Linked DNA regions of Macaca mulatta. The protein of the gene in region 2 interacts with the protein of the main gene of each other region in a pairwise test. Links are inferred from orthologs where the notes say so. Each region holds a gene or a part of one and is shown on either strand. Other genes may lie near its edges. The genes, in order: PNRC2, ESR1, TRAM1 and MED25.

Region 1 (4,984 bases), on a different chromosome or scaffold from region 2:
GTATAACATACGTACACTGGCACTTTAGCACAAGGGCAAACTTTAAAAACAAATTATTTTGGACCTTTAAAATTAGGCCATACTATAAAAAACAGTCCACGGTCTTACATTCAGCAAATTCATACTAAAATATTCCATTTTTGTAAGATAAAGGCCAATAAAACTTTACATATGCTACAAGTTTATTACAGATATGTACATGGCTCTTTCTCCCCTAGGTACTTAAAATTTTCACATTATCCAACTCCCCAAAGCAAGCTTTGCAGGAATGATGAGGCCAGATCACTATTAGAATAGCTTGTGCAGTGCTGTAATACAAAAATGTATTTTGAAAGCTATTGAGTGACCATTAAATACTGTTTCTATAAAAAATGGTTTTGGTGTATTTGTTGACACTTAATCCACTATATTTAATAAACAGGGCCATTGGGATGTACTATGTCTCATTCTAATGAGCTCCAAATGCCCTTTCCACCCACTGTACAATTCACTAAAATGCAATTATTACAAAAAATTCACATTTTCTTTCAGCAGTGCATCAGGTTGTTAGCATATTACTGGTTTGGGTGTTTCTAATATACTAAACTTTCAGATGTTTACCTAATTCTGAATCCTTGTGTTAGCTTGAAGCTTATAATCTGATTCACCAACTTTCAACAATCTACTCCATGAATGATAAATTACTATCTTCCCCTAACAATAGAAAAAGCTGATTCCTTTACCACTCCCCAAATCTAAACTTGGTTTCCACTTAAAAGTTACTCAGTTGAGAACACTTAATATCAAATACCATTAGTTTAAGTTGCACTGATACTACCATTGTATCACAGTGCACACAAGATCGTCTATTTTTTTTACATTAATTAGCAGTTCTACACAAATAGATTAATTCCTTAGCGAATGTTTCAGACCAATTGACAACTACCCGCGAACATAATTTTAACATTTGTCTTACTTTATACCTGTACTTTAAGTAAGGTTTTAAGTTGAAATGTCATTATTTCCTTATCTGAAGGATTAAAGGAAACAGGGACCCAGTGGCTTGGTGGTTTGGGAAGAACACTTGGTGATGGTGGCTCACTAAATTTGGCACCAGCATAGTTCTGATTAGCTTGAGATTTAAAAAGTAAGCTGGGACCTGATAAGCTAGAATTCCAACTCTGATTATTTGGAAAATTTTTGTTCTTCCCCCCACTTTGCATAGCCTGCCAAGCAGCTGCTGATGAGTTATAACCATGTCCTCTTTCTTTTTTCTTATGAACAATCTTCATCTGGGAATTCTGATCCTTGGTCTTCTGTCTGTTAAGCTGTTGTTGGTTCTTACTAACATTTCTAGATTGAGGGGCTGGAATGTTATACCGCTCTCCACCACCCATCTTCAGCTTCTTTGTCACCTACAAGTGAATGGAAACAAATATTGAGTAAAATTCCATTAAGTTCAAATCTGTAAAAAGCTTCTATGGCTCCAACTTATAACTCCAGATATTTTGAACAAGACTCAGTAATAGGCTATTCAGCTGCTTTAAATTAAAAAAGCAAGCTGTTTAGACTCCAATATATGCACAACCTTTATTATTATACCGTCTCTAAGAAAAATGAGCTTACCCACAAATCAGCATAATCTATTTTAAAATAAAAACAATTGGTTTAGGATGGCTCCATCATAAAATGTTTGCCCATTATGATGATTACCTTTCAGTCTGCTTTTCAGATTGCAGGATCTCCACTACCTGTCCTCTTCCTTGCTGCCAAGCCCAAGATAACAAGTGTTGCTTTCTGACAGATCCTTTCCTTTGTCTCAATACAGAAGTTTTCATGGGCCGATCTGCTGAGTTCAGCCTAGGAGCTGAGGCCAACATCTGAGTCTCCTCAGCACACAAGTTTGAGAGAAGTCCTAGCTAGAAAAGTAAAGATTACTTCATTATTTCAAAAACACGTTGAGAAAGTGATCATTTAGATTTACTACAAAAATCGTTGACTGTAAAGAAGGCTACTTCCTGAACTAAAAGGTAGAAAATTTAAGATGGCTTTGACCTCATAACCACGATCATTTAAAAACTCTTCACCCTTGAGACCCAGTCACTCCTGGGGAATTTTTGGAAATGTCTCGAAGTCCCGCAGTAAGTTTTGTTTTTATCTTTTTCCTGGGAAAGATCTTCAGATTCTCTCACGTATAAAATCAAATAACGAGTGTTAAAATGTTAAGAGTCATCAAAAAATTGGCTTCAGGCGGATTTTCAAAAGAGACCGTGTTTTTAAACTCCCACCAGAATTTTCCAATCTTTCCACACACGTCACATCCATTTTCAGTCTCTTGGAACATGTAGACATCACGCAGTGTTTCCTTTGGTTGTGAACACCCTCGCCTCCTCCCCGTCTTAAAATAAGTTCTCACAAGCCCTAACACTCTAAGCCCATCTTAAATCTATAAAAATGTCTCCCTAGAGGGAACAGCTCAACATTCAAGGTTTGGTTTTAATTTGATGTTCCAAGAAAATAAGTTACCAAATAGTTAAGCCCCCTCCTTTCAAAGGGGTAAGAGAGCCTTCCAAACAGATAAACCACCCTAAATAAATTGCCATTTCCGGACTGTGAGTCATTCACAACTCGAACTCGGAAAACTCGCCGCCTCCGACGCCACACAGGCTTGGCTTCCCAGTGGCCCCATCTCTCCGGAGCCGCAGGGGTCGGGGCGCTGCGACCGCCCGCGCCCGCCCGGATCTCGCCTCCGCTCGCCTCCTTCCCCCAACAATGGGGAGCGCAGCCACCAACATGGCCGCGCCCGCTGCACAGCCGCTACTTACCGACTTCAAGCTCGGAACTACGGCGGCAGTGGCTCCCTCTCGACGTCGAAGCCTCCCTCCCTTTCCAGGGAGAGACGAGGCACGGACCGACAAAGCCCACGAACACCGATGAGCGAGCTGCCGGTCACCCTAGCTTCTACAACCCAACCTCCTCCTTCTGCCTCTACCGACAAAATGGAGTCGGCGGCGACCGCAGAAGCAGGGCCGGGCGGCTCCGCGGCCAATCAAAACACGACAGCGCAGGCCTGGCCAATGAGAAGCGGGCCGCCGCCTGTTGCTGGGGCAGGCCGGGGGCGAAGGCGGGGAGGTGGGGCTGCCGAGGGTTTGAAATCCGCCCGGGGAGGAGGAGCATGCCGGGAGTAACTGCCCGGTCCGCCGGTGTTCACGGCCTTACCACCGCGGCCTCCCCGCGCCCCTGGCCCCCCAAGGCCCCGGCCGCTAGCTCTCGGCTCTTCCTCCCGCTCGGCTCGTGCGCGCGGGCTCGCTGCCCTTGGGACTGCCCTGAGGGAAAAGACTGACCGGCGGGGGACGTTTGGCTCTCGAATTAGGGCCACTGAGTCGCGTAGCCTGTATTGACAGATGGAGGATACTCCAGAAAGCCGCTTGCCAGGGCCCAGCCCCCGCCCGCCTCGGGCCTCGACTTCTGGGTCGCCTCTCTCCCACATTCACAACTCCGCATCCGAAGTCGGCGCGTCCCTGCGGTTCCCTCCGGTGCCCCCCACCCTCCAGCCCCGCAGTTACTCAAAAGTTGCCTCCGTGTGAAGGCGGTTCAGACACACGCGGGCAAGTCAGTCACTTCCTGCTTGGTGGCCCCATTGGCCCTTAAGTTCAGTTAGAGCCCTTAACGCGCCGTGTTACAGTTTCCTGTGGCAGCAGCTCTCCCCACCCACACACCCTCGAGGGCCACAACCGGTTAGGTTTTGTTTCTCTGACCGCAGCGCCTTCGCGCGTGGTAAGTGCACAGTAAGTTTGCTGAGAGAATGAGGGCTGCTCCCTTCCCCTTTTTGCCCCACTTGTAAGTGAAAAAAAGGAAAGAAAGAGAATATTGTTTAGTTGATTATGCCAGCCAGATGCAGGTAAGGGGAAAATGGCAATTTCTTTGGAGTACGTGTGTGAGCAACCCAGTGTGAATCTTTTAAAAGAGAACACTAATTTCAATGAGCGTGAATAATTCTGGGATAAACGGTACAAAATCAAGTCTCATTACATTCCCAGTTTGTTCGTGTATACACATGGATACATACATACGTAAGTTTACATTAAATAATTTGTATTTACCAACTTCTTATAAATCTCATGTAATTTGTCGTTTATTTTTGAAACGGAGTCTCGCACTGTCGCCCAGGCTGGAGTGCAGTGGCACAATCTCGGCTCACTGCAACCTGCGCCTCCTGGGCTCAAGCGATTCTCCTGCCTCAGCCTCCTGAGTAGCAGGGATTACAGGCGCCCGCCAACACACCCTGCTAATTTTTGTATTTTTAGTAGAGACAGGAGTTCACCATGTTGGCCAGGCTGGTCTCGAACTCCTTACCTCACGTGATCCGCCCGCCTCAGCCACTCAAAGTGCTGGGATTACAGGCGTGAGCCACCACACCCGGCCTGTATTTCGTTTTTTAATCTTCAATTTTTTGCCACCGTCATCCCCCACTTCCCAATCCAACCCAAATTCCTATATTCTAGCCATTGGATCTTAAGGAAAGTTACTGCATCTTAAGAGATGCAGTTTGTTAATCTAGTTTGATAAAAGAGGTATTTTTGAGCATAGGGACTTTCTGATGCTAATCATAGTCAAATAAGAAGAATGTGGTAAACCAACAGGTGTCTCAGTGAAAGGGTAATCTGTTTTCCAAACATTCAAGAAGTTTGCTTAGACATCTAGCCAGATAATAGTCAGCTGTATTTAATGAATTTTTAATGGTGTCACTTTAAAAAACAAAAAATTCCGTGGCTCCAGATTGTAATACAGAATAAAATCTAAACTCTAAACGTTTAGAAAATCATTCAAAGTAATTGCAGTCTAGAATTAGTCTTTTCATGGCAGGGCATGGCTCACACCTGTAATCTCAGCAATTTGGGAGGCCAAGGCAGGAGGATCACTTGAGCTTGGGAATTTGAGACCAGCCTGGGCAACATGGCGAAACCCCATCTCTACAAATATACAATTAGCTGGGCATGGTGGC
Region 2 (5,104 bases):
ATGAATGTGTACATCACATACATTCATTTTCTATTCTTTTTTCAGTTTAGTTGAAAGTCACACTGTAGACCTTTAGATTGTTGTTTTGAATAGAAAGCTCTCAGTGAGACTGGAGCGTTATTACAGAAGACATTGCTTGGTGAATTACTCCTATTAAGGGTCTAATTCCCAGACGGTACCCACAGTGAGGGAGTGGAACCTTCTTTTAGAGGCTGACTCATGGAATCCTATAGATAAATGGGAACACCAATTCATTAGCATTCATTAGCCATGAGAAACTCAACGGTAAAAGGCCATGAGAAACTCAATGCTATAAAGGACTGGAGATTTGCATCATTGGACAATCAAATGGGAAACCACTTTATGAATGGAACTTTGCAGGAGGAACAACGGAACCAGAAAAGTGGGGAGCTCTTGGCTGACTCCCAGTAGGAAAGACCTGTCACTGGGACTAGTCATCTCTAATGGTTAATACTTACCTTAGCAGGCCAGGCGCAGTGGCTCATGCCTGTAATCCCAGCACTTTGGGAGGCTGAGGTGGGCGGATCAGCTGAGGTCAGGAGTTCGACACCAGCCTGGCCAACATAGTGAAACACCGTTTCTACTAAAAATACAAAATTAGCTGGGCATGGTGGTGCATGCCTATAATCCCAGCTACTCGGGAGGCTGAGGCAGGAGAATCACTTGAACCCAGGAGGCGGAGGTTGTGGTGAGCCAACATCATGCTACAGCACTCCAGCCTGGGCAACAAGATCGAAACTCGGTCTCAAAAACAAACAAGCAAACAAAAAAACTTGCCTTAGCATATCTTGGTTTAGTCTCCTTGAGCTTCCTTCTTCTAAGCCTTAGCCTGGCCATCTTCAGGAAAACCTGTTCTTGCTTATCTATGCCTACATGTAATATGATATTTAAAACCTGGATTTAGACTCAAACTTGGCTGATTTACCAGCTCTGTGATCTTAGTTAGACATATGAATCTTCTAAGCCTCAGCTTCCTTATCTGTAAAGCAAGACAAATACTCTCTTCCCACAGGTGTGTGGGAGGATTAAATGAGATAACTTTGATACATTTAGAACAGTTATGCACCAAACTCTATTCTAAAGACTGCTGTTTATCTTATGGAGTCAATATCATCATTTTGTTTTCCATCCCACATTGCCAATATGAAGTGTATATTTATAACTGAGAATCAACTATTTTTACTGAATGAGGAATATTAATGAGAATGATTTTAACCAAAACAGCAAACGGTGGCACTGGTGTGCTGTGTGTGAGAATAGCTCAGGAATACCAGAGGGGAAAAGGATTTCAGAATCAATAAGTACTTTTGTGAGCTATTTCACAAAAATGACATGAAAGAAAATATTTAGAGATACGGAAAAGGTCAAACTAACCTGAAACTCAGTTTTATTGACAAAAGTTTAAGTTACCTTTAGCATATTTCATCATCCCATAATCAGGACCATCAATAAATATTTACTGAGTGCCTACTGCAGTCAAGACACTGCAGTGTGGGCTGCAGTTAATGTCCAGGTGATGGGAGAATTGCTTAGAAGTACAAGCAATTGTACTTTCCTGGATGACTAAAATCTAATTGGAGAGTCAGGCATAGCATAAAAATAAATCTATAGAAGAAAAATCAGTAAACAAAAGTAGCCTACAAAATTTTCCCATGTTTTTTGGGATGCACTTATATGGCTTTAAATTTTAAAAATATTTTGAAATATAAAGCTTAAAAGAGTGAACAACTTGGGTCATCATACTTTTTTTTTTTTTTTTTTTTTGCCAGAACCTCACTAGAGGAAGATATTAGATTGGATGATATGAAAATGTCAATATTTAACCTTTTTTACATCCAAAAAAACCCCAAAATTTCATGTGGTTCAACCTTGATTTCAGTAAGCTATTTCTGAAAGCTGGATACATGTTGAAATATGAGTAACATTTGCAGTCCATCTACTCTGGACTCATGCTAATTCCTTCTGGGGCCTTTTCAGATTCAAGATAGATTCGCAGGAAAAAATGCATAATATTTAAACTGACGGACTGGAAAATTAGCATGAAAAGTTCACCAGTGTTATGGAAAATTTCACCCAACACATTTCGTAAAGAACAAAAACCTAAACACACATGGTAGATCCACTTCAGCAAATCATGTTAGTGCAGCAACATTATCCAACAACAAAATTTTAGAACAATTTTCTCCCCAAGGGACTCATTTTCCTTAGAAAATTATGCAAAGTGTGAACAACTGTGAAATACAATTGTCAACCAAAATATTCAACTTGACAACAGATTGAAAACTGTTACAATGTAATATAATTTACAATGACTAAAATTTTAATTTTAATGGGTAGTACCCATAAAAGTTGTCTAGTTTAATTAATTTCCCTTTTTCATTGGTGCTGTGGGTCTTAAATTTGTATTTTGCTACATCTTTATAAAACAACTTTAAATTCTCACACATTAAATTTCTCTACAACTGTCTATCTAAATCAGAGTTTTTAATGATAAAGACATGTGATGCCCCTGTATGAATAGACAGAGAAAAAATTAAAACGAACAAAAAATGTATTCCCCCTGTGTAAGATATAGACGTTTTTTATCATTGAAGACTTGTTTGGCTAACTTTACAGTCCAAAAATTCTCCTAATTTGAAAGATTGTCATTATAAATTAAAATCTCTGAAAACCTCCAGACTATGTATTAAGTCTTTGAAGATATCAACATTGTGCCCATATATATCCCATAGCCTTGCCTTGGTATCACCTTGTGAGACACAAATGTTCTTTCTATGGCATGTGCTTTTATCCTGATGTGTGAGGCCTTGGTCTGATAACCTCCTTACATAGTCATCTTAATATTCAGTTGCCCAAGAGAAAGTTAATAGAGTAGAAAAAATTAAAACTTACCTTCTTTGGTAGCTACAGAATATAATTCACAATCAAAGGGATTGGTATCAGATTTTGGAGATATTTGAGGCTCTGCGATTATTTCTCTGACTGCTTAGAACCTTAGAATCTACCAAAATAAAATCTATTAATCAAATATTTTTTTTGGACTAAGCTTACACAGTTTGTTCAGGCATTGTTAGCATGTCTGGAAGAGTCATCTCTGCTTTCGGGAAAATTACGTTGACTGAAAGAAAGCACAAAACAATCGTCTCAAAACCGTCAGTAATTTTTCTAAAGGATGTCAAATGTGCACTTCACAGCGAGGGAAAATGTTGACCAATACTGTTGTTTGTGATAAATACATCACATCCTAGTGAAAATGTGGTATAGCAGGTAACAAGTTTCCATTCTGTGCACTAGAACTGAAAAACTGTACCTAGAAAGGATATTCTGAAAAATACTAATTATAGGGACAAAGCCTTAATATTCTTAATACAAACAGCTCTTAAAAGTCTATTTTAAAAATGGAACATGTGAACAGAAAAACTAATAAAAATTTACAAAGGACAAAATAATGGAGACCAGTAAACATAATTTTTAAAGGTCACTGTTAATTGGAGAATTTCAAATTTTTAAAACTGTGTGCTATCAGGTTTTAAATATTTATGGTGGTTATAATGTAGGAAGTAAGCATTCTCAAACACTGCTGGCGAAGTATAAAATATTACAACCTTCCTAGAGCACTATGACTTTATTCAAAATCTTAAAATACTCAAAGGAAAAAAAAGAGCTTTCTTTCACCTACAGTTCAAAATAACATAACTTAAAACTATATTATTCCTAGGCCTATATATAACAAGACATCTTCAAAATGTTGCCTTCTTATGCATGAATATGATGTAATTCTACTTATTTAGATCTTCTTTAATATTTCTCAAGAAAATTTTGCCTCTAATAAGTTTTTCTACATCTTATGTTAGATTTATTTTCTAATGTTATTGTCTTTTTTCTGGTATAGTGAAATGACATTGACTTTTGTATATTAATTTTATATCCTGCCTTCTTGCTGAGCTCTCCTACAATTTCTAATAATTTATCTGAAGATTCTTTGGAGTTTTTTATGTAAATGTATATATCATCTGAAAATAATTAGTTTCATTTCTTCCTTTTCAATCCTTATATCTGACTCTACAATTCTCTAAATTTTTGTCATATATATTTTGAGGCAGCTTAATTGGGTATGTATACATGTTTAGAATGGATATTTCTTGGTGAATTGAAACTTTAACCTTTTGACTTCCTCTATTACTATAATGTTTTTTATCTAAACATGAGCTTTATCTGATACTAATACAAATGCACCAGCTTTCCTTTGTCACTCTCTGCAGATTTTTCCATCTTTTAATTTTCTGGTTACGTGTATATGCTTTAGGTATGTTCACACGAAAAGCATATATCCAAATTTTTTAAATCTCATTTAATAGTTCCTTTCTTTCAACTGGCAAATTTAACCTATTTATAGTTATTGTGATAGTGATACATTTACACATCTTTCTACTATTTTATTTTACTGTTTCAATTTGATTCAGGATTTCTATTTCTTTTTAATGCCTTCTAATTCTTAAAAGTTCTGTGTTGATACCTTTCCCCAGCAAGTCAAGAATTGAGCCCGATCTCACATCCCTTGGCCTTCTCCCATGTTTTCATCAACCCCCTTACTGTTGATACAATCTAGAATTTTAAGTTTGAATAATATTAATGAAGTTTTCCTTTCTATATTCTTTGGTATTTCCCATATTTTTATGTCAACAAACTTTACTAAGTCATTTGACTATCTTTATTTCAAAGCATCTCGTGTGTGTGTGAAGGTGGAAAGTCTTGGGTACCAAAAAAATTGCAGTTGATCATTCCCTTCCCCATTAAATACCCACTCCTGTTGGTGCTTCATTTCCAGCTCCCTGCAGCCTGGCAGCATTAGTGGAAGATTTTTTTTTTTTTCCCCAGGTCATTTTTTTTTTTCTTCAACTGCCTACTGGCAGACAGCTCCTCACTGCCTGGACTTCGCCTCTGAGGACAACCTTCTGGGCTGCAGCTCTGGGGACAGACACCAAATGTCCTGGGACAAAAGCCAAACTCCAAAAACTCTATTCAATCACTCCACAGCCACATCTGAGGCCTCTGCCCCAAGCTGCAGCCACCACCCCAACAC
Region 3 (4,795 bases), on a different chromosome or scaffold from region 2:
TGGATCCCTGAAAAGTAAAGACAATTCTGAATATCAAATTCCACTTTCAGTGGGGCTCAGTGGCACGTGCCTGTACTCTCAGCCATTCAGGTGGCTAAGAGGGGAGGATCACTTGAGCCCAGGAGGTCAAGTTCCAGCCAAGGCAACACAGCGAGACCCTGTCTCAAAAAAAAAAAAAAAAAAAAAAAAAAGAGAGAGACCCTTTTGTAGGTCACAAATGTGACGACTGGGGTTTCACACTTATATGTGAGATGTGTCTCTCCCTCAAACTTTGTTATGACCTGAAAACCTTACCTGACATGAAAAGAAAGAAAAAAAGGAAAGAAAAAGAAAAAAATCCCCCAAACCTCGAAAACTGTTTCAAGATGGCTGAAACTGTAAACATCCCCAAAATCTGTATGGCATAAAGAACTTGCAGATTTTGAATATCTTTCCTTTTGAATATATTTCCTTTATACGCTCCTTAAAAGAAATACGTCTCTTGTGAACCCCTAATTTTTCACCCCTCCTCCACATCCTCACTTTCAGAAAGCTTCCCAAGCATCCCTAACATTTTTTGACCATTCAATTTTTCCTAACTCAAATATGAAGCCATTCATTGTATACTATAATTTGAATTATGTGGACAGATACTGACTGTAATAAAACTATGATTCTAAAATTTACACGCCATTTTTGATTAATGTGAAGTTCCCTGGAAATTAAACTCTTACATTACCACCAAACAGACTACTTTGTTAGCCTTTTCAGTATGTATAATCTCTTTAGATGCTAACTAAAGAGATTCCAGGCCCTTCTCTCACATAAAAATGTTTTCTACTTCCCAATTTTGGTGAGTTTTTAAAGAATAATAATAGCTACCACTTATTGCATGCCTCTTGCAAGCCAAGCATTGAACTAGGCTTAATACATATTGGTTAATTTAATTATCAGACTAACCCAATAAGCCCCATTTTGCAGATGAGGAAACTTCAGTTCTGAGCTGCCTTAGGTCAACCAGTTAGCAAGCTGCAGAGCCCTAACTTGAACATGAATCCCTTCAGCTCCAGAATCCATGCTTTTACAGTGTATCTGCATTGCTTCTTCATTTTGGCTAGTAATACAGTATTTCTTTCTTTGTTAATTTCTTTGTCGATTTCACCATAAATCCTCTGACATTTCCTTAATGTATCTGCACAACAGGCTTAACAGTTCTGCAAAAAAAAAAATCAATTTCTCTATTATTCTAGCACAAGTACTGTAATTCTATAATTACGTTAATTTTGAGATTCAGCAGCAATTGTTTTAAAAGTCGAATAGCAAAACTAACCTAGTCTACACATTCCTATATATAGATAACATGCTTTGAAATCCTAACACCTTAACATATGGTAAGAAAAAGGAACAACTCGCAGAAACTTCACTTTTGTGTATCACTTTAATGCTCACTTTTGAATTGACTTAAAAAACCTCTAGTATTTTTGTCTGTTTAGATTTTCAAATTTTACAAATTTATATAAAGGTGAAAATCCACTGTTAAAAAAAAATCACTAACATGTGAGGCAAGGTATAGGTGGTGGACTTCCCTAGAAATATAGTAAGAGAATGGAAAATAGTTTATATAAAATTAAAGTTATACTATGTGTCAGAATTTCTGATTTATATTTCATTTCATTCAAAGCACTGCAAATGTACCTTGCAGGTCATGGTACCCCTAAAATATGTTTTTAAAGTCAGGAAATCTTAACATGTGGAGATGGTTTATGACAAGTTACATAAAATTGAATATACTACATATATTAAAGTATCACTTTAAGATCAAAGTAGAAAGTATATATAAGTATCAAATTCAGAAAGTGAATACAAATGTTTAGCGTTGGGTTTTTTTTTTGTTTTGTTTTTTTTTTGGAGACAGGGTCTTGCTCTGTCCTTCAGGCTGGAATGCAGTGGTGAAACCTTGGCTCACTACAGCCTGCACCTCCTGGGCTCAAGTAACTATCCCACCTCAGCCTCCCAGTTGCCACCACAGGTGCGTGCTATCACTCCTGGCTAATTTTTTAAAAATCATTTGTAGAGACAAGCTCTCCCTATGTTGCCTAGGCTGGTCTCGAACTCCTGTACTCCAGTGATTCTCCCACCTTGGCCTCCCAAAGTGTTGGGACTTACAGGCGTGAGCCAGCGCACCAGGCCTAGCACTGTATTTACCTTCACACCATATTATCTGAACCTTGCAAAAAATGGCTGTGAGGAGAACAGTACAGGTGATATTATTTCCTTATAAAGAGCAGAAAAATTGAGACTCAGACTTGGGGCACCCAGGAAGTAGGTGGCACAGCCCAGACTTAAAGCTTGAGAATGTTAGTTCCCTTCTACCTACCCTTTACTATACCCGCTACATCCTTAGCAGTGGTTTCAAACATGCACGACACCATCAGGAGTAAATGATATCTGTATCTAGATCCAGAAAAGCCCATTTGATGAGAGGCGAAAATAAGGTTAAAATATTATTTAATTTTAAAATTTAAAAAAAAAAGGCTCCATGAAAAAAAATGTATTCACATTTTGGTCACTGGTAATGTCACTGCATTAGGTTTTCTCAAGGATTCTTAATGTCGCTCATATTTTTTTAAGCACTCCTATATCCCAGGCACTATCCTAGACTCTGGAAATACAGACTCTTAAAAATACTCCAAAATCTCTACTCTCACTTGTTACATGCAGGAGAGAGGAGACAAAACAAGGCAGGAGCAAAATAATTTGTATATTTACTGAGACATAAGGGCTCCAGAGAAAAATTAAGGGGAAAAAGCAAAGGAATGAGCGCGTGTATTGACAAGCGAGGGGAAAAACGTAGGATGTTACTCGTTCACCTTGCAAAGTTTATCATCCACATTCAACAGCTGTTAAATAAGCCATCAAAATACTAGATACGTGGGAAGAGAATTTACACACTCCTGACATTCCTATCCTCTCCTACTTCAAGAAACAAAATTACTCGACTCCTTGGCACCGCAGTTCAGAACCTCGATTTATCCATCAGACCTTGTTTCTTTAAAGCATCAGGGCAAAAAGTTCGTTAACTGGTAATAATACCAGTTGAAAAGACAGAAATTAAAACAATCCGGCGTGCCTCCACCGTGCCGGTGCCCGGCGGCCACCGCCCTTCAAGTCGAAAGCAGATGCCCGACTCCAGTTTCTCGCTCACCCCAATCTCGGAGCTACCGGGGGGCCCCCCTGTCACTCGGGCCTGTGGCCTCCAGGCCGGCACTCCTCAGACCCTGGGGCCGGGCTTCCGCCTTCCTCGGCCCTCGCGGGGCTGACGCTTCAGCGGCAGATGCTGGCAGTACCCCCAAGTCCGCCCACCCGCCCCGAGCCAGCTCGGCAGCGCAGGGGCCGCCCCCGCCCGCCCGCCCGCCCGCCCGCCGGCCCCTCGCCGGCTGCCACGTAACCCTTCGCGGGAACCAGGAACTGCGCCGCGCAGCCGGAGGGAGGGGGCGGCGGCGGGTCAGGAAGGGGGCGACGCGGCCGTCCCCACCCCCCTGCGGGCCGCGATGAGGCCCACCGGGACTTTGCATCCCCGGGCCGGCCGCTGGGGAGCTGCCGCCGGCGTGGGGCGGGACATGGCAGGCCTGCACCTCGGGGACTGGGGGGTCCGCACCTACCCCGGACCCGAGCCCCCCGCGGTCCTGGGCGGAGAAGCCGGGGCTGGCAGCTGGAGCCCGGGCCTGGGCAGGGGGTGGCGGGGCAGGCGGTTGGGGCTCGGGGCGGGCTCACCTCAAACATGAGCCCCAGCAGGAAGACCATCGCCACACAGGAGACGATGTCCGCGTGATTCTGCAGGACGAATTCGTGGCTCAGCACCGGGGGGCTCTTGGTGCTCTTCTTGCGAATCGCCATGGTGGGGCCGCCGCCCGCGCCTGCAGGTGCTCCACCCCGGCTCTGCTCTTCCCAGCTGCTCACCGACTCGCCGCCGCCGCCGCCTCCCCCTGGCTGCTCCTCACGGCCCCGCTGCAGCCGCTCGCTGGGGCTTCACTTCCCATCCCACAGCCAGTACGCAGCCGCCGGGCCGCCCGGGAGGAAAAAAAAAAAAGAAAAAAAAAAAAACAAACAAAAAAAACAGCCAGCCCGCAGCGGCGGCGAGCATGCGCACCAGGGAGATGACGCTCGCTAGTGCCGCGGCCTCCTCCGCGAGGCCACAGCGCCACCTGGGGACCGGAGGCCGCTGGCTCGCGGCCGGGCGAGTTTGCTGGAAAGTGAGCGGCGCGCCCCTGCTACGCACCGGGCCCGGGTTTGGGAGTCGTTTGAGGCGCGAGCTTCCTCCGCCTGCTCAGCAGCCTGAGACAGCGACCGGGTGCTCTCCCGCCCTCCTGGCCACCCAGGGATTGGGTGTCAGTGGCCTGTTGCACACTGCCACTTCTACAAGTGACTGCCACCGTCAGGATAATATAAAACTACAAATACTACCTGACTCCACAGGGGTACGGTGTATTCTCCAGTTTTAGCGTCTGCCTTAAAAAATTAACCTTAGAGTTAAGCACTCCCGGGGACTTATTTCTACCCTTTGTAAGTTTGGACTAACTTTAAAAAAAAGCTGACCCTATTCTGGTCTGCCTGTCCATCCCCACCCCCATCCCTGTCCCCGTCACCGTCCCCATCCCTACCCCCATCCCCCACTGGCCTCAGACTGAAGACGAAGGGATCAGTTTGGGTTTACTGGCTTCACGTATATTTAAATTAACAACATGTTTTAGTAATCAAAAAGTTGAAAAGGATCGTGGAAAAGGCACGTCCTCCTCTTATCGTTTTGCCCAAACCA
Region 4 (4,342 bases), on a different chromosome or scaffold from region 2:
CATGGGACTCCCATCATCCCACAAGCTCCAACATGCAACTAGATCTCTCCCCAGGGGCCAGGGCTCCAGCAAGTCCCCAGAAGCATGTCCCTTCCTGGAAACATCCATACCTGGTACTGCGGGGGGACGGGGGGCAGAGGCTGCTGGGGAGCTGCTGAGAGAGTGGCACCGGAGGGTGCGGCAGGAGGCAGGGGGACTGGCTGCTTTGGCTGGAGGGGGCCTGGGGCAGAGCCACCCCCAACTGAGAGCAGGAGGGATGGCCAACCCCGGAAAGAAGGGATTCAAGATGGAGAAAGGGGAGAGAAATCCAAAATCCAAGTCAGAGGGAGCTGGGAAACACGTTGAGCCCCCGATCCCCGCGCGCGGTGCCCAGGCCTCACCGGGCAGCACGAGCCCCCGAACCAGCACCATGTGCCTTGGGTCCTGGCTCACATCTGTCGGAGGCTGCAGCGGCTCTAGCAAGGCCGGGGGGGCTGCCTTCTCAAACAGAAGCCGAAGTGCAGGCAGCTTCCGGGGAGAGACGATGGAGAAGTGGATCCCCCGCTATAGGAGAGGGACCCAGCAGTCATGACGGGCCCCCTCCATAGGGGTGTTGGGGCCAGCGCCCAACCTACCACAGCTGCTGTGTGGCTGGACAGCACCAGTCCTACAACCACAATTCCCACTGGGCTTTGAGGCAGGAGACCCTGAAACCTGGTATTGCCTGCCCCGGGAGACTCTACGTTCTGGTTTTGTCAGTAAGACTAAGTGGGCTAGGTGTGGAGGCTCACGTCTGTAATCCCAGGATTTTGTGAGACCGAGTCAGGCAGATCACGTGAGGCCAGGAGTTCGAAAGCAGCCTGGCCAACATGGTGAAACCTCGTCTCTACTAAAGATACAAAAATTAGCTGGGCGTGATGGCGGGCGTCTATAATCCCAGCTACTCGGGAGGCTGAAACACGAGAATTGCTTGAACCCAGGAGGCAGAGGCTGCAGTAAGCCAAGATCACACCACTGCACTCCAGCCTGGGTAACAGAGCCAGACTCTGTTTCAAAAAAAGAGAGTAAGCAAAGCTGGTCGCCAGTCTGTGACTATTCTGTGACTGAGTCCAGGCCCCCAGTGCCTCCTCTCTCAGACCCAAGAGTCCAGACCCCAGTGCCTCCTCCCTCAGACCCAAGAGTCCAGGCCCCCAGTGCCTCCTCCCTCAGACCCAAGAGTCCAGGCCCCCAGTGCCTCCTCCCTCAGACCCAGGAGTCCAGGCCCGCAGTGCCTCCTCCCTCAGACCCAGGAGTCCAGGCCCCCAGTGCCTCCTCCCTCAGACCCAGGAGTCCAGGCCCTCAGTGCCTCCTGCCTCAAACCCAAGAATCCTGGCCCCCAGACCCTCCTCCCTCAGACCCTGGAGTCTTCACCTCCCCAATCTGCTGCACGAGATTCTCAGTTGTGCATCCAGAGTACGTGGTGCTCTCAACAGCAGGCAACAGGTATGGAGGCGAGTTGCAGATGAGGAGGCAGACCCGGTGCGTCTGGCCACTACCAGGAATGAGAGAAGACATGGAGCCGGCAGCAACAGGGGCCCTGAGATGGAACCCAGACCCAGCACCAGTGGAGGCGCACATATTCAGCCTCATATGGAATCAGAAGCAACGCCCATAATTTATTACAGCTGACAACACTGAGGCCCTGAGAGGTTCTGGAATGTGCTCTCCGTCACCCAGCAGGCAGAGCACGCAGGAGTGACACCCACAGTTGGCACTGCTTCCTGATGGGGACGCTGAGACCAGGCACTGCCCAGACCTCCCCCAAGAACAAACCTGCAGCCTCCTGGCTCAGCGTGCTTGGGGACACAGAGCCCATGCCCTACAGGGTGAGGCTAGAGGTAGAGCCACTCGACAGGCAAAGTGGTTCCGGGCCAGGCAGAGAGAGACTGACCCAGCCTGGGCAGACGGGGCACTCACATCTGCTCACGCATCTTCTTGAAGTCATCAAACAGCTGCAAGGCTGTGCTGAGTCCTTCCGCGATGAGGCTGCAGCTCTCGCCACCCCCACCCATGAACCTGTAGGGGCAGAGCAGTCAGCCCCCAGGGTTGCCATCATCCCTGCCCCCAGGCCATGCTTGAAAAGCCTGCTCCCATGCTGTCCCCCACCCTATCCTGGAGTATGCACCTTGGGATGACAGGGACACCGCTGAGTTCCCTACCCGATCCCTGGTGCTAGCACAGCATCAGTACCAGACAGGACAGGGGACACTTGTTGTGTGCGTTTTTTTGTTTTTTTGAGATGGAGTCTTGCTCTGTCACCCAGGCTGGAGTGCAGTGGCGCAATCTCGGCTCACTGCAAGCTCCACCTCCCAGGTTCATGCCATTCTCCTGCCTCAGCCTCCTGAGTAGCTGGAACTACAGGTGCCTGCCACCACGCCCAGCAAATTTTTTGTGTTTTTAGTAGCGACAGGGTTTCACCGTGTTCGCCAAGATGGTCTCGGTCTCCTGACCTCATGATCCACCCGCCTCGGCCTCCCAAAGTGCTGGGATTACAAACGTGAGCCACCGCGCCCAGCCGACATTTATTGTCTTAATCATGAGGACTGGGAGGGAATGGGAAAGGGCTGGGAACCCCAAGCCTAGGATCCTGTGCTGACTCCAACCCTGGAGTGACTGACTCCCTGCCCAGCCTCCTGCTGTCCCCTTCCCTCTCTGGGCTGTCTGCTCCAAATCAGTCCTGGCCCCACTTCACCTTCCCGGCCAGAGATGGGGGCCTCCTCTGTCCTCCCAGTCTTATGGGCTGAAGTGTGCCCCCCTCAAAAAGACAAGTTGAGGTCCTAAGTCCCAGTACCTCAGAAGGTGACCTGATTTGGAAAGATCTTTACACAGGTAATCGAGTTAAATTGCAGACCCTAATCCACTATGGCTGGTGTCTGTGAAAAGCAGAAACGTGGACACGGACACACATACAGAGGGAAGACACAGGGACACAGAGACACAGGGAGAGGCCACGTGAGGATGGGTGATGCAGCCTCAGCCAGGAAGGTCTGGGCGCACCAGGCGCCGGGAGAGGCAGAAGGGCCCTTCCCCTATAAGGTTTCAGAGACAGCCTGGCCCTACCACCTGGATTTTGGACTTCCAGCCTCCAAGACCCTGAGACATCGATTTCCATTCTTCTGGCCAGTTTCTCATACTTTGCTACAGCAGCCTGGGAAACTAACACATACAGACTCTCGTTTCTCCTCCGCCTGATCTGCAGTTGCGTCGCAGCATCTGTCCCACATGGGTTGTGGCCTGGGGATGGCCTCTCCTCAAGGGCAGCTGTGGTTGCCACCATTCTTCCAGTCACATAGTTGTAAGAGGCTGATCTTTGCTGCAGGGGACGTGTGTGGAGACTGAGCGCCCCTCTGAGGGTCTTGAGGGCCCTGTCCCTCTGAAATGTGGTCTCTGACCCTACCTCCCCCAAGGCCGGGATGGGGTCTGAGTCCTCTCTCACCCCCAGGCTTGCCCACCACAGTGGGGCACACGGGAGGCCTCAGGAAATGTAAGCTAAATGAACAAATGGCTACAAGCCCAACCCTGTTCATCAAGGCTGGAACCAACCCAGGCCCTTGGCCTGGCATCCGAGGCCTTTGAGTCCTGCACCCTGCTCTCCTGCTCCATGCCCGCGCCTATAGGTCCTCTTGACTGATGAAGCCCAGACATCCAGGTCTCTGCATGTGCTGGAACACACCCATTCCAGCCCAGATGGAATCCAGTGAAGCTACGACACCCATCCTGGTGTGCCCTCCTGCAGGAAGCCTTCCCTACGTGCCACCTAATTTTAGGGCCTGCCCTTAATCACATCATAGATCACCTGATACTGCAGCTGTCAAGCTTCTCTCCACACCATGTGCAGTCCTCCATGAGAGACACCAAGGTGTCTGAGCCCCAGGTCACACAAGGCCTAGGAACCGTCTGCTGAGTACTCAGCGCACTGGAGGCCTGGCAGGGCCATGTGGCAGGGCATATTTTATAATGCCTGGAGACATTTTTGGTTGTCACATCTTTGGGAGGGGGCTACTGGTATCTAGTGAGTAGAGGCCAAGGATGCTGTTAAACATCCTACAATACCCAGGACAGCCCCCACTACAAGAAATGATTGTGTCCACAGGGTCACTAAGGCCAAGGATGAGAAACTCTGCTCTATGTCACCTACAAATTCCAGCTATCACAAAGGGAAAGCTTCTGTGTCACCTTTTCACTATACATCCTGCACCCAGCACTTGTACACACATCCTGGAACAAAGCAGATGCTCAACAAACACCTGCTCCAGAAGCGTACAGAGGTAACGGCAGCTACTACGAACAGGTGTTGTTTAATGAATCCTGACTGCACACCAGG

What was found.
Region 1: the proteins of ESR1 (region 2) and PNRC2 interact in a two-hybrid assay, tested with the Homo sapiens proteins (2 studies listed by BioGRID and IntAct). The link is inferred for Macaca mulatta from reciprocal best matches to the Homo sapiens genes ESR1 and PNRC2.
Region 3: the proteins of ESR1 (region 2) and TRAM1 interact in a two-hybrid assay, tested with the Homo sapiens proteins (2 studies listed by BioGRID). The link is inferred for Macaca mulatta from reciprocal best matches to the Homo sapiens genes ESR1 and TRAM1.
Region 4: the proteins of ESR1 (region 2) and MED25 interact in a two-hybrid assay, tested with the Homo sapiens proteins (2 studies listed by BioGRID). The link is inferred for Macaca mulatta from reciprocal best matches to the Homo sapiens genes ESR1 and MED25.

What each region holds. Positions count from the first base shown.
Region 1 is NC_133406.1:217,017,731-217,022,714, forward strand, and holds the start of PNRC2 (proline-rich nuclear receptor coactivator 2), read right to left. Parts: upstream 2,976-4,984; 5' UTR 2,805-2,975; intron 1,899-2,804; 5' UTR 1,693-1,898; intron 1,395-1,692; 5' UTR 1,377-1,394; coding exon 957-1,376; 3' UTR 1-956. UniProt on the Homo sapiens protein: Involved in nonsense-mediated mRNA decay (NMD) by acting as a bridge between the mRNA decapping complex and the NMD machinery. May act by targeting the NMD machinery to the P-body and recruiting the decapping machinery to aberrant mRNAs.
Region 2 is NC_133409.1:70,390,771-70,395,874, reverse strand, and holds the start of ESR1 (estrogen receptor), read right to left. Parts: upstream 3,047-5,104; 5' UTR 2,914-3,046; intron 1-2,913.
Region 3 is NC_133413.1:81,247,430-81,252,224, forward strand, and holds the start of TRAM1 (translocating chain-associated membrane protein 1), read right to left. Parts: upstream 3,424-4,795; 5' UTR 3,185-3,423; intron 306-3,184; exon of another isoform or gene 199-305; intron 1-198. UniProt on the Homo sapiens protein: Involved in the translocation of nascent protein chains into or through the endoplasmic reticulum (ER) membrane by facilitating the proper chain positioning at the SEC61 channel.
Region 4 is NC_133424.1:62,289,689-62,294,030, reverse strand, and holds part of MED25 (mediator of RNA polymerase II transcription subunit 25), read right to left. Parts: intron 2,035-4,342; coding exon 1,936-2,034; intron 1,511-1,935; coding exon 1,390-1,510; intron 544-1,389; coding exon 381-543; intron 242-380; coding exon 111-241; intron 1-110. UniProt on the Homo sapiens protein: Component of the Mediator complex, a coactivator involved in the regulated transcription of nearly all RNA polymerase II-dependent genes.